Linked DNA regions of Macaca fascicularis. The protein of the gene in region 1 interacts with the protein of each later gene in a biochemical or structural test. Links are inferred from orthologs where the notes say so. Each region holds a gene or a part of one and is shown in the gene's direction. Other genes may lie near its edges.

What was found. The genes of interacting proteins can lie anywhere in the genome.
Region 2: the proteins of CDC34 (region 1) and SKP2 form a complex in vitro, tested with the Homo sapiens proteins (3 studies listed by BioGRID, with this or other methods). The link is inferred for Macaca fascicularis from reciprocal best matches to the Homo sapiens genes CDC34 and SKP2.

What each region holds. Positions count from the first base shown.
Region 1 is NC_088393.1:1,083,307-1,089,738, forward strand, and holds the start of CDC34 (ubiquitin-conjugating enzyme E2 R1), read left to right. Parts: upstream 1-2,565; 5' UTR 2,566-2,737; coding exon 2,738-2,914; intron 2,915-6,205; coding exon 6,206-6,292; intron 6,293-6,398; coding exon 6,399-6,432. UniProt on the Homo sapiens protein: E2 ubiquitin-conjugating enzyme that accepts ubiquitin from an E1 ubiquitin-activating protein, and catalyzes its covalent attachment to other proteins by an E3 ubiquitin-protein ligase complex. In vitro catalyzes 'Lys-48'-linked polyubiquitination.
Region 2 is NC_088380.1:36,456,676-36,463,007, forward strand, and holds part of SKP2 (S-phase kinase-associated protein 2), read left to right. Parts: intron 1-708; coding exon 709-843; intron 844-2,736; coding exon 2,737-2,835; intron 2,836-3,990; coding exon 3,991-4,121; intron 4,122-6,332. UniProt on the Homo sapiens protein: Substrate recognition component of a SCF (SKP1-CUL1-F-box protein) E3 ubiquitin-protein ligase complex which mediates the ubiquitination and subsequent proteasomal degradation of target proteins involved in cell cycle progression, signal transduction and transcription.

The sequences.
Region 1 (6,432 bases):
CTGGGGGTCGGGGCCCTGTGGGACCCAGCTGGAGGGGCTTGAAAATCTCCCCCACCCAGGCCGGGCGCGGTGGCTCACGCCTGTAATCCGAGCACTTTGGGAGGCCGAGGCGGCTGGATCATGAGGTCAGGAGTTTGAGGCCAGCCTGACCAACACGATGAAACGCCGTCTCTATTTAAAAATACAAAAAATTAGCTGGGCGTGGTGATGGGCACCTGTAGTCCCAGCTACTCGGGAGGCTGAGGTAGGAGAATCACTTGAACCCGGAAGACAGAGTTTGCTGTGAGCCGAGATCGCACCACTGCACTCCAGCCTGGGAGACAGAGCGAGACTGCGTCTCAAAAGAAAAGAAAAGAAAAGAAAATCTCCCCCACCCAGGCTGGGCGCGGTGGCTCACGCCTGTAATCCCAGCACTTTGGGAGGCCGAGGCGGGTGGATCACCTGAGGTCAGGAGTTCGAGGCCAGCCTGACCAACATGGAGAAACCCAGTCTCTACTAAATACACAAAAATTAGCCAGGCGTGCGGGCGCATGCCTGTAATCCCAGCTACTCCAGAGGCTGAGGCAAGAGAATCGCTTGAACCCAGGAGGCGGAGGTTGCAGTGAGCCAAGATGGTGCCACTGCACTCCAGCCTGAGCAACAGAGCAAGACTCCTTCTCAAAAATAAAAAAGAGGGCCGGGCGCGGTGGCTCACGCCTGTAATCCCAGCACTTTGGGAGGCCGAGGCGGGCGGATCACAAGGTCAGGAGATCGAGACCACGGTGAAACCCCGTCTCTACTAAAAATACAAAAAATTAGCCGGGCGCGGTTGTGGGCGCCTGTAGTCCCAGCTACTCGGGAGGCTGAGGCAGGAGAATGGCGTGAACCCGGGAGGCGGAGCTTGCAGTGAGCCGAGATCGCGCCACTGCACTCCAGCCTGGGCGACAGAGCGAGACTCTGTCTCAAAAAAATAAAAAATAAAAAATAAATAAAAAAGAAAAAAGAAAAAAGAAAAGAAAAACCTCCCGCACCCACAGTGCTTCCGGGGATGTGGGGTGTATGGAAGAAGAGAGATATTGACCGTGTTGGGGCACCTGTGGGAGGGAGTGGCCCTGGTCCCCGCCTGTTGTTGATGCAGCTGTGTGTACCCAGGACATAGCAATAATGCCACCAGCACAGTCCGAGGGCAGGGCCACCGCAGTCACGGGCACCACTCAGGGGAGGCTGGGTTGCCCTGTCCTCAGCATGGCCAGTTCTCCCGACCAAGCTTCAGGGCAACGAGCATGCGGGTGTCTGGGCAGCCACTCAGCCAGGTCAGAAGTCAGGTGGGGTCAAGACTCTGGGGGGCCGGGCACGGTGGCTCATGCCTGTAATCCCAGCACTTTGGGAGGCCGAGGCAGACGGATCACTTTGTTACTCCAAACTGCACCCTCCCCTTCCTTCCAAAACCTAACACACTTAAGGTCAGGAGTTCGAGACCAGCCTGGCCAACATGGTGAAACCCCATCTCTACTAAAAAGACACAATTAGCCGGGTGTGGTGGCGCACACCTGGAATCTCAGCTACTCGGGAGGCTGAGGCAGGAGGCTCCCTTGAACCCTGGAGGTGGAGGCTGCAGTGAGATTGTGCCACTGCGCTCCAGCCTGGGCGACAGGGCGAGACTGTCTCAAAAAAAAGACTTGGGTGGGACAGAGGTCAGGCTGGGAGGAGGGCACAGCCAGGCTCAGGCTCAGCTTGGGGTGGGGGCTCCGTGGGGCTGGCGCCTCTCCCGGGTCAGGTGCTGAGCCGATGCTGGCTGGGGGGAGCCTCTTTCCCAGTTTCTCTGGGGGGCAGGAGCACCTTGCCAACCTCTGATGGCTCCAGCACCTGCACCCGCCTCACACCACATGGTGACTTCAACGGGGGACCAGGAAAGCCCTCGCCCCCTCCCGCCCTCAGAGCCCTCCCCGACCTCGCCCACTTCTCAGAGCTCCCGCTGTCGGGGGAACCGAGGCAGCGCCGCGCCTGGAAGCCGGGTCTGCACACCCCGCCTCGCTCCCGCTCCTCCCCTCCGCGAGGCCAGCGCGCCCCAGGACAGACTCAGCGCCCGTCCCCTGTATAGACGGGGAAACGGAGGCGCGGACGCGGGGTCGCGCCGGGGGAACCGGCCCTGCCCCTCCGGCCCCGGTCAGGACCTCGCCCCGCGCCCCGTTCACCGCCCGCAGCCCCGCCCCACGCCGGGACGTCACAAAACGACCCCAAAGCTGGGGGACCGGGCCAGCCACGGCCAGAGCAGCCCTGCCCGCCTCCGTGCGCACAGCGTCCGCGGTACTGGTCGAGCTGGGGGCGACGGCGGCGGCCTCGGGGATCGGAAGCGCCCAGGGTTGCGCGCTCGAACCCTCCCTCCCGGCGGCGGCGCTCGGCGCGGTAGGCGGAACCGGGACCGGGACTCCACTTCCCGGCGTGCCCCGCGGGCGGGCGCGCAGGCGCAGGTCGGGCCTGGCCGCGGCGCGCAGGCGCAGTCGGGGCCGGGCGGAGCGCGCAGGCGCAGCGGGGGGCGGGGCGCGCGGGCCGGGCCAAGGCGAGCGCTGGTGGGGCGGCGGCGCCAGAGCTGGTGGAGCGCTCGGGGTCCCCGGGCGGCGGCGGCGGCGCAGAGGAGGAGGCAGGCGGCGGCCCCGGCGGCTCCCCCCCGGACGGCGCGCGGCCCGGCCCGTCTCGCGAGCTCGCGGTGGTCGCGCGGCCCCGCGCGGCGCCGACCCCGGGCCCCTCCGCCGCCGCCATGGCCCGGCCGCTAGTGCCCAGCTCGCAGAAGGCGCTGCTGCTGGAGCTCAAGGGGCTGCAGGAAGAGCCGGTCGAGGGCTTCCGCGTGACCCTGGTGGACGAGGGCGACCTGTACAACTGGGAGGTGGCCATCTTCGGACCCCCCAACACCTACTACGAGGGCGGCTACTTCAAGGTGAGCGCGGCGACCCCCGCCCGGGTCCCTGAGCCCACGAGCGACCTCGGGCGCCAGGAACCAGCTCCCTGCCCCGCGGTCCCCGGGCGGGCCCGGCAGCCTCCTGGCTTGGGCTCGCTTCCCTTCTATGGCCGGGTCTCCCCACCCAGCTGTGCCCGGCCCCCTCCTCGGACGGTCCCGGGGACCTTCAGCCTCTGCTGCGGTCCCCGAGAATTCTCAGTTTCCTTGAAGGCACCGTCCGGTCCCCGGGTAGTCTCCTGGCCCGCAGAAGGGTGGCCCGGGGCCCTCCCGGTATCATCTGCGCGTGGGGCTCTTGCCCACCTCCTTCCTGGGGGGGGCTCGACCCCGGCTGCCTCCCCCTCCGCCCTTGCGAGAAAGAGGGAGCGGAGCCCAGGCCGCCCCGGCCTTTCTGCTGCCCTCCCCGCCCTCCCCGGAGGAGACAAAGAGGCCCCCCCCAGACCCCGCAGCTGCTATTGTTGGGGAGCTGGGCCTGTGAGCGGGGGAGCGAGGCCAGCCTGGGGGTGGCTGGCGCGGCCACTCGCTCAGGCTCCAACAAAGGCCCGGATGAGCCTTGGCAGCCGGGCCCTGCCTGGAAAGCGGCCACCCTTGCCGATAGCAGCCGGCCAGGCGCCCTGGGCTCCATCCCCGGGTTTATGTAACCTGCGCCCTCGGGAAGGCTGAGGCAGGGGCGTCCCTCCCACCTGCTCCCTGCAGCTCTCCCCGGGCCCCCGGCTCCGGCCCGCGTCCCGGACCCCGACCTCAGAAGCTCCGGGCTGCTTCATCCCAGCTGGCCTTGGCCTTTCTCAGATTCCACTGAACAGGTGGCTTCCTGTGACCCCAACCCCGAGTTCTGGGCCATTCCTTCTGCCCTCTGGCGGTTTCATTCCAAGCAGGTTCTTGATGTTTTTGTTGCCGTTGGGAGCAGGGAGACTGTTTCTGTCCAGTGTGGAAAGGACTCAGGCCAAAGCCTGGCCAGTTTTCTTGATCTCACGATCCAGACGTGACCTTTGGCTCTTGTAGAGTTCCAGGACCTCGTCCTTGGGGCCAGAGGGACAAAGTGAGGGGCCCCGTGTGAGAGGTGGGGATCGCGCACCCTGTCCAGGAATCCCCCCTCCCGCTGTCGCTGCCTGCCAAGAGCCTGGGCACAGCCGGGCCTGCTCTGCCCCGGCCAGCTGCGGGCATGGGGCCGAGGGACCGATGCCTCTCAGAGCGTGTGCTCTCCGGGCTAATTAATGTCTGAACCGCGCGCGCTCAGCGGCTGTGAGGGCAGCAGCCTGGTCTGCTGGGGGCGATTCCTGAGCTGAGGTTCTGGGTTACGGCAGAGGGTGGGACGTCCGTGGGTTGTGCATCTGGAATCGTGGGTCCCCACACAGGGAACAGAGTTTGAGCCTTGAGGTTGTCAAATGGTTTTAGCAGCCCCCTCCCCCAGCCCCTTTTTTCTGCTTGGGGGAGCAGCTGGCTGTGAGCAGGGGCGGCCCCACCTCGAGGCCAGGCCTGTGAGGCGGCTGCTGTTCTGGAAGGAAGGGATGCGGGTTCCTGGCTCCTGCCCACCAGACCGGTTGCCAGGGATTGTGGGCAGAGCCTCCTGGACCAGCATTAGGGGATAATCCGGTTTTCCGGATTTCCTGGGGAGGGGGCCTCTAGACATCTGCCGCAGGGTCAGTCCTCAGAGGCCAGCGTTGAGACGCGGGGGGGTGCTGCCACCCACCGGGGCTCTCCCTTCCCCGTGTGCCTGGGAGGGAGTTGGGGGAGCGTGGAAATACAGGAGCTGCTGAGTGCCCAGGGCCACCGCTGCTGCCCAGCCACTGCCTGCAGCCGCTGTTCCTTCAGGAGCCAGAGCGAGCCCTGGGGCAGGGGCCACCAGAGAGAGCCCTCCACGGCGGACTTGCCGTGTGCCATCGGCGGGGGCTTTGCTTCTCGGAGCCTGGGTTTGCTCCGGGTAAAAGACATGTTTGGAGGTGCTGAAAATAAGAGGTTTGTTGGGACTTGGTGGGGTTCGGTGCAGGTGAGGCCGCCTGGAAACCCAGCACCAGGCTTGGGGGGCCCGGAGTCTTGGGGAACTGCTGGGCAGTTCTGAGCCTGAAGTTCCAGCCTTGCTCTGTGGCTGTGGCCAAGTCCCTTACCTCATGGGGCCCCAGTGAGTTCCCTGTCAAACAGAGGACACCCCCAAGACCCCTGAGAGCCCTCCCTGTCCAGGAAGGACCTCGCCAACAACTGCTCTTTGGGGGTGCTGCCCTCAGCCTCTTGGAGTGCTGAGTGCCACCAGGACCCCTGACCCAGACACCCCCGTGCCTGGCACTGGGGCCCAGGAAGGAAACAGTGAGGCTTCCTTGTTTACCTGTTGGGGCCCAGGAGGGCCGTGGGTGGCGTCACGCCCCAGGCCGCAGGCCAGACAGCTCTGTCACCGGGCACGTGGCTGCAGTCCTTCCTCTGTGGCCGTCCTTGCCAGCAGGCCTGGACCCCCAGGGCCTGGATGGCCACAGGGGGCGATGCTGACAGGGAAGGAGTCCTGCCAGGCTTCTGTGACCTGTGGGTCTGCCTGCCTGACCCCACAAGACTGGACACCTGAGGGCAGACGGCCATGCTGACTCATCCCCTCCCGTGGCCGGGGCCCGGCAGGTGTCAGTGTTTGCTGAGTGAGCAGTCGTCTGTGCAAACCCTCCCCACACCGTGCCTGCCACGGCCCTGGAGGGGCAGCCTGGTCTTGGGCCTCAGCTCCATCCGAGGGGAACCTGGAGCCCCTGCCAGTCCGTTCCGTCGGCTGGTGGGTGCCCCTGGCCCGGGTCCCATGTGCCTGACCTGGGCTGCCACAGGCCTGGAGCCACTCGGGCAGCCAGTGCCTGCGTTCTCCAGCGGCTGTGCTGGGCCAGGCCGCGGCCACCTGGACTGTGTAGGAGCTGGGATCAGCTCAGGTGACTCGGAAAAGGCTTGAGGCAGCCTGCTGGGGACTTGGCCCCAGGCCCATGAGAGTCCCTGCCTTGGCTGGGATAGGGTGTCCCTCACACACCCTCAGGCACACGCCCGAGCCTTACCCCCAGCACACCAGCACCGGGAGTGGAATGGCCTCGGGTCCCTCACACACACCCTCAGGCACACGCCCGAGCCTTACCCCCAGCACACCAGCACCGGGAGTGGAATGGCCTCGGGTCCCTCACACACACCCTCAGGCACACGCCCGAGCCTTACCCCCAGCACACCAGCACCAGGAGTGGAATGGCCTCGGGCACCCTGTGAGCCGGGGCCGGGCCTGGGGCTGAGCTGGGCTGAGCCACCCGCCTTCTGCCCCTGCAGGCGCGCCTCAAGTTCCCCATCGACTACCCGTACTCTCCACCGGCCTTTCGGTTCCTCACCAAGATGTGGCACCCTAACATCTACGAGGTGAGCGCGGCCCCCACGGGCCTCACGTACTCATTGTCCGGGACCCGTGGCTCTGGGAGCCAGTGCTGACCTCTGACCTGTCCTGACCTGTCCTCTCCTTGTGCAGACGGGGGACGTGTGCATCTCCATCCTCCATCCAC
Region 2 (6,332 bases), on another chromosome or scaffold:
GGTCTCCCCTCTTTTTTTTTTTTGAGATGGAGTCTTGCTCTGTCACTGAGGCTAGAGTGCAGTGGTGCGATCTTGGCCCACTGTAACCTCCGCTTGCTGGGTTCAAGCAATTCTCCTGCCTCAGCCTCTCAAGCACTGACTTGACTGCAGTGCTTGGACTGCAGGTGCGCATCACCGTGCTCAACTAATTTTTCATATTTTTAGTAGAGATTGGGTTTCACCATGCTGGCCAGGCTGGTCTCGAACTCCTGACCTCGTGATCTGCCCAACTCAGCCTCTCAAAGTGTTGGGACTATAGGCGTGAGCCACTGCGCCTGGCCTGGTCTCCCTTTAAAACTTGCTCTTCCACTATCTTCCCTGTTCCATTGCTGCTCACCCATTCACCCCTGCTAGAAACCAGGAGCTGTTATAGTCTCCTTGTCACCCACGTCCGGCTCATTGTTGTGATGCCCACTCATTAGTTTCTAAGTGGGACTATATTAGCAGCAACATCTGTACTTGGCAAAAATCCTTTTGAATTTTAAAATGAATGAAGATGGGAATACACTAGTAGCAATTTGTTTTATGACCCTATAGTTAATGCTTGAAATATGTATTTAGAGTCTTGTTTGTGATTGACTGCTCATTTGGGGAGACAAAGGGGTCTGATTTGATCGGATGTACCTGTGAGAGCCACCTATGGAGCCCCTTTTTTCTCTCCGTGTTTAGCCCTTTTCGTGTACAGCACATGGACCTGTCGAACTCGGTTATAGAAGTGTCCACCCTCCAAGGCATACTGTCTCAGTGTTCCAAGTTGCAGAATCTAAGCCTGGAAGGCCTGCGGCTTTCGGATCCCATTGTCAAGTGAGTGGCAGCCGGAGTGTCGCAAAGGCAGTTGTTTTTATGTGTATGAATTTTTTTCCCTGTATATATATATAACTGGAGTGCCCTTCTAGCCATATCCAGGTGGATACAGAAAATTTCTAGTGCAGGGCTCTTGCTTCTGCAAAACTTTTCAGGACTCATTGAAGCAACAGAAGCTTGAATGCTAACTATATGCCAGGCCCTGTGCTAGTTTCTAGAGATACAAGGATGAACAATGCATGTGTATTATTTGGAAGAAAATGAATGCTCCAAAACTTTTCCCACATTGTTAGTGAATGCTGGTTAAGCTATAGTTTACCTTCTTGCAAGAGGAAACATCGAGCAAGACATGTCTGTTTCCTCTTGCAAGAAGGTAAACTATTTATGAGCAAGACAGATAATTACCATGCTAGTGTGTTTATTAAATATTTCGGTGAATATGTGGCAACACGCGAGGAGCCGCCTTCTTAGAGGAAGGAAGTGACTCTTGAGTATTGAAGATATCTAGGTAAGAGATCTCCAGGTAATAAGATAAAGCAACCAGTCTAGGTAAAGCTTCCTATGTGGTTCTAAACTCTACGTGGTTGGAAGTTACTGGAGCACAGGACTAAGGGAGGGGAATGACAGGAGGTGAGGAGAGTCAGGGACCAGATTGTAATAGGCCCCTGTGCCTTGCTGTAAGAAGAATGGACTCTTCCATCAAGAGGGAAGCATGGGCCAGGTGCGGTGGCTCACACCTGTAACCCCAGCACTTTGGGAGGCTGAGGTGGGCGGATCACCTGAGGTCAGGAGTTTGAGACCAGCCTGGCCAGCGTGGTGAAACCCTGTCTCTACTAAAAATACAAAACTTAGCTGGGTATGGTGGTGCATGCCTATAATCCCAGCTACTCAGGAGACTGAAGCAGGAGAATCACTTGAACCCGGGAGGCGGAGGTTGCCATGAGCTGAGACCACGACACTGCACTCCAGCCTCGGTGACAAGAGCAAAACTCCATCTGAAAAAAAAAAGGAAGCATGGTGGAGAGAGTTGTTCTGAGAGTGGAAGGAACACGTCAAGAGTTGAAATTTAGGAAATGAACTTGCCAGGCACCATGGAGGGTCCATCGAGGATAGAAGAAGCTAGAGTAGTTAAGGATACTGCTGTGTTCATTCAAGTGAGAAATTTTGAAGTCTGATATAAAACAGATAGCAATAATAGCAGCTAATGTTTTGGGGCATGTATTATGTGCCAGATAGTGAATTTTGTAAATGCGTTTTCATTTACTTCTGACAGCAACCCCATGAAGTGTGATCTTACTTGTTTCCTTTTTATAGCTGTGGAAACTGAGACATGGGGAGACTGAATAAGTCTTTTCAGGGTCACACTGTTAGTAGGTGGCTGAACCAAGATGTGAACCTAGTGATATACTATTTCCAGAGTTCTTACTCTTAATCACTAAGTTTTACTAACACAGGGCATTTGGGGATGTAGTAGAGAAGATGGCAAATTTGAGAGATGTATAATCAAAAGAACCTGGTGATTTTACAAGTAGAAGTTTGCAAGCTAATTCTAATTATGGGTGAAATGGATATATGTTTATTCCATTGTGTTTTTAATTCAAAAAGTACATTGATTGATATTCTTGTGTATTTGCTTCATAGTAAGTCTTTTATCACATTATATCATTTAATCTTCTTGATAACCCTACCAAGAAGGTTTGATAATGCCATTTCACAGGTGAGTAAACTGAGGCAAATTATCCTGTTTGATGTCTGAGAGATAGTGATATACATTTTAAACTCACTGACTCAAAGACCTATGAACTTAACTACACTTGCCTGCTTTCATCTACATGTTGTTGATGAATAGCGTCTTATTGGTCTTTTTCTTCTGACGTTTTTCTCTTTTTCCAGTAATCTCGCACAAAACTCAAATTTAGTGCGGCTTAACCTTTCTGGATGTTCTGGATTCTCTGAATTTGCCCTGAAGACTTTGCTAAGCAGCTGTTCCAGGTATGAAAGATGTGACTTGATTATAGACTCTTATATCAAATGTAAAATTATCCCTCACATCTGTATAAAATTGGATGAACTTTTTGAGCTTTTTGTAACTTTCCAGGCTCTTGATTTGGTGAATGCAGCGTCTTTTGTCCTCTAAACTTTCTGTCCAAACTCAGGAGCCGAGTCAATTGAGTTTGCAAGCGATACTTTTTTATCTCTCTTTTGTTTATTTGGAACTATTAAAGAAAGGGAAGTATAGTAGTGTCTGTCAACAGTATATTTGTAAGAAATCAACTCACACTTAACTATACATTCAGGTTTTTTCCCTTATGGTATCTGTAGACCTAACTTACAATTTTTGATCAAATTTTGTGTTTTATAAATATAGACCATAAATTTGGGCAATTCTATTAACAATAGCTTTCATAATAATGTCAGCACATAAAGGGTACAGAGTTACAGATGTTGTTAAGTGAGGGGAATACATGCTTTTTGGAATACACAGTACTATGCATATGTGTGTTTTTAAAAAATATCCCTTGGTCTCCATGGTACATCTGTGTCTTGTTAATGGTCCATTTAAAATAGATTGCCTCCGGATATGAATGATATCAGTGAGATCAAATGTATAGCCCTATATTTAGTCAGCAGTGCCAGAAGTGGGGAGTGGGGATTCATGGTTGTATTTTGTCTCTGAAACCCTCGTTTTTGCTCAGTTAGCAGAGGCACAGTAAGATGAAGTGGCTTTTTGCAATGTCAGCATCTCTTTTGTGCAATCCTTCAATTGTATAAAACATCCTGAGTGATTGTTCAGTCTGTGTTGGGTGGTTGGTAGTCTGAGAAGGCAAACATAAAAGACTAGCATTTCTATCTGCAGTACTGGAATAAGGTTTGAGCCATCAGGAAGAGAGTGCTTCTCTCCATTTCCAGGAGGAGGCAGCATTCACCAAGGCCCTTCTGATCCCCTGGCAACTTTCAGGGGCAAACAGGGTATACTTAGGAGACTAGAGGTAGCTGCTGTTAGAGAAGCAGGTGTTCTATGCATGAAATGATAAGGAATCAATGGCTTTGCATTTTCTTTGTTTGCGGTTTGAGGCAAACTCATTCCTGTGAGTTTTAATTGGTTTCATGGTTTCATATTTTCTTTATTACCCCTCTTTTGTGCAGACTGGATGAGCTGAACCTCTCCTGGTGTTTTGATTTCACTGAAAAGCATGTACAGGTGGCAGTTGCGCATGTGTCAGAGACCATCACCCAGCTGAATCTTAGCGGCTACAGAAAGAACCTCCAGAAATCAGGTTAGAGCTTCCAAGCCTGAACCACTGAGGCCTTCACAACGTAATAGATGAGATTCATTGAGCTTCTCCTAATCGTTCCTCCACATAAGTTTTCTCATTTAATCCAGTGCATGTGTTAGTCCCCTTTTGCAGATGAGGTGGCTGCTAAATCAGAAGGGTTAGGTGAAGGTAAACAGCTAGTGAGCTAGAGCCAAGGTTTGAATTCAGGATCTAACAGTAGAAACCTTTACACTTGAAAACAATTTATTTTTAAGCAGAAAAACTTTTAATCAACTAAATGATTAGATAAACTCCAACATAAAAATACATAAATGTAGCATTTCATTAGTATTAAATAGTGGTTCTTCATTAGTTAATGGGGCTATTTTGTCTGTATGGGGACATTTGTCAATGTCTGGAGACATTTTTTATTGTCACAGCTGTAGGAATGCTGCTGGTCTTCCTTGGGCAGAAGCCAGGATGCTGCTGGACGGTGTATAGGATGGAGCATATTACGCACAATAATCTGGTCCAAACATCAGTTCCAAGGTTGAAAAACTCTGTTATTAACTCTGTTAATAAGTTCATATTTATGACTTTTACTTTTTATTCAGTCCAAGAGGGCAACGAGGTTTTTTAGATGAAAACAGGCCTTAGGAGTCAGGGGTAGCAGGGAACAGTCTTTAAAAACCTTAATATTCAGTTACGCTTTGTTACTGAATGTTAATGAGAAAATCTTGTATGTTACTTGTATGTTAATGAGAAAATCTTGATTTGCAAAGATAAGTGATTACAAATGGCAAGTTTTTTAAATGGCTTCACCGTCGCAGGCCAACATTCAGTTTGTGGGCTATGCAAAACCTAGTTAAACCAGCAACACACATCAACCGTATCTCGATGTTAGTACTAGCTTATTTGAGTGTATTTTGTTTATTATAGTTTTTATTATTCTGAAAAAGATTTGAATCAAACATCTGCAGAATATATCTTAAAATTTAAGTAGTATAAAACTACTTCTCCAGGACAGACGTCCTCTGGTAAGATGTATAAAGCTATAGAAAATAATTGCTAGCCTCTCATGAGTGGGCAGAGATTTGAGTCTTTCACCTGTGCAAGGACTCAAATTTGGACTACTGCCATTCCAAACACTTGCATTTTCAGACAAGGTGAATACTTTCTTTAGCAAGCCGTAAAAGCAGCAATCATGTCTTCATTTCTTACCACTCTCCCCACCCAGTATTTATAATTACTATTTTAAAACTGATCATAGCATTATACAGTCATTTTAAAAAATGCAACATATAGAAAAACGCAAAGGGAAGCAAATTATCAATAATCTAACATCTTGCTAGGCTTTTTCCTGTACAAACACTGTTTTTTTTAAATGGGACATAGTATATTAAATACTTTGTAATATGCTTTTTTCCCCCCAGATAACCCCATTTTCAGTGGCTACATTATGTCATCATCAGTGGCTATGTGATAGTCCATCAAATGGATATGGAATAATTTATATTAAATCAATAACAATTTATGCAGTTGATCTTCTAATGGACATTCAGAATCTTCCCAGTTTTTCTCTACTATAAACAATTTTATGAGTGACAGAGACAAATCTTTGGATGCATTTCTAAGGATGGATTCTTAAAAGTGGAATTGCTGGGTCCAGCATTAGGTACTATTCTCAAGTTTTGGATAATTTCTGCCAAATTTTCCTCCAAGAAGTTTAAACTCCCACCCACGAGCATCCTCTTGGTGTGAAATTCCATCAGTCTTGGTTCTTCTCTGTTTGTCTGCAGGTGAAGGGAAGGCAGTGCCTTGTTTATATTTCTTTCCCACATCTGGATCTTTCACTACTTTACCGAAAGATTTTCTGACATGAACTGAGGCTGTGGGCACAAGGTTGAGAAACTGCTGTAGGCAAAGTGCTGTTGGTTTTGTCCAAGTTTGGCTTAAAACCGTTCCCTTTGTTCCTCCAAGAAAGAGAACAGAGAGCCTGTTTACCGAGTTTTGGCAGAAATAGTAGGTATTAAAATTCTGCTTGCTAGACACATTCAGGACAGAGAGGCAGAATATAAATTGAAGTGTTAGTTTTTTAATTATACAATGGGGATAAAAAAAAGTTTTTAATGTCATTAACAATAGCACACACCATTTCATTATATATGAGATAATATGGATTTGGTTTTAGCTAATAGACTGGTACCAGATGGCCTGGGTTCAAATATCCAC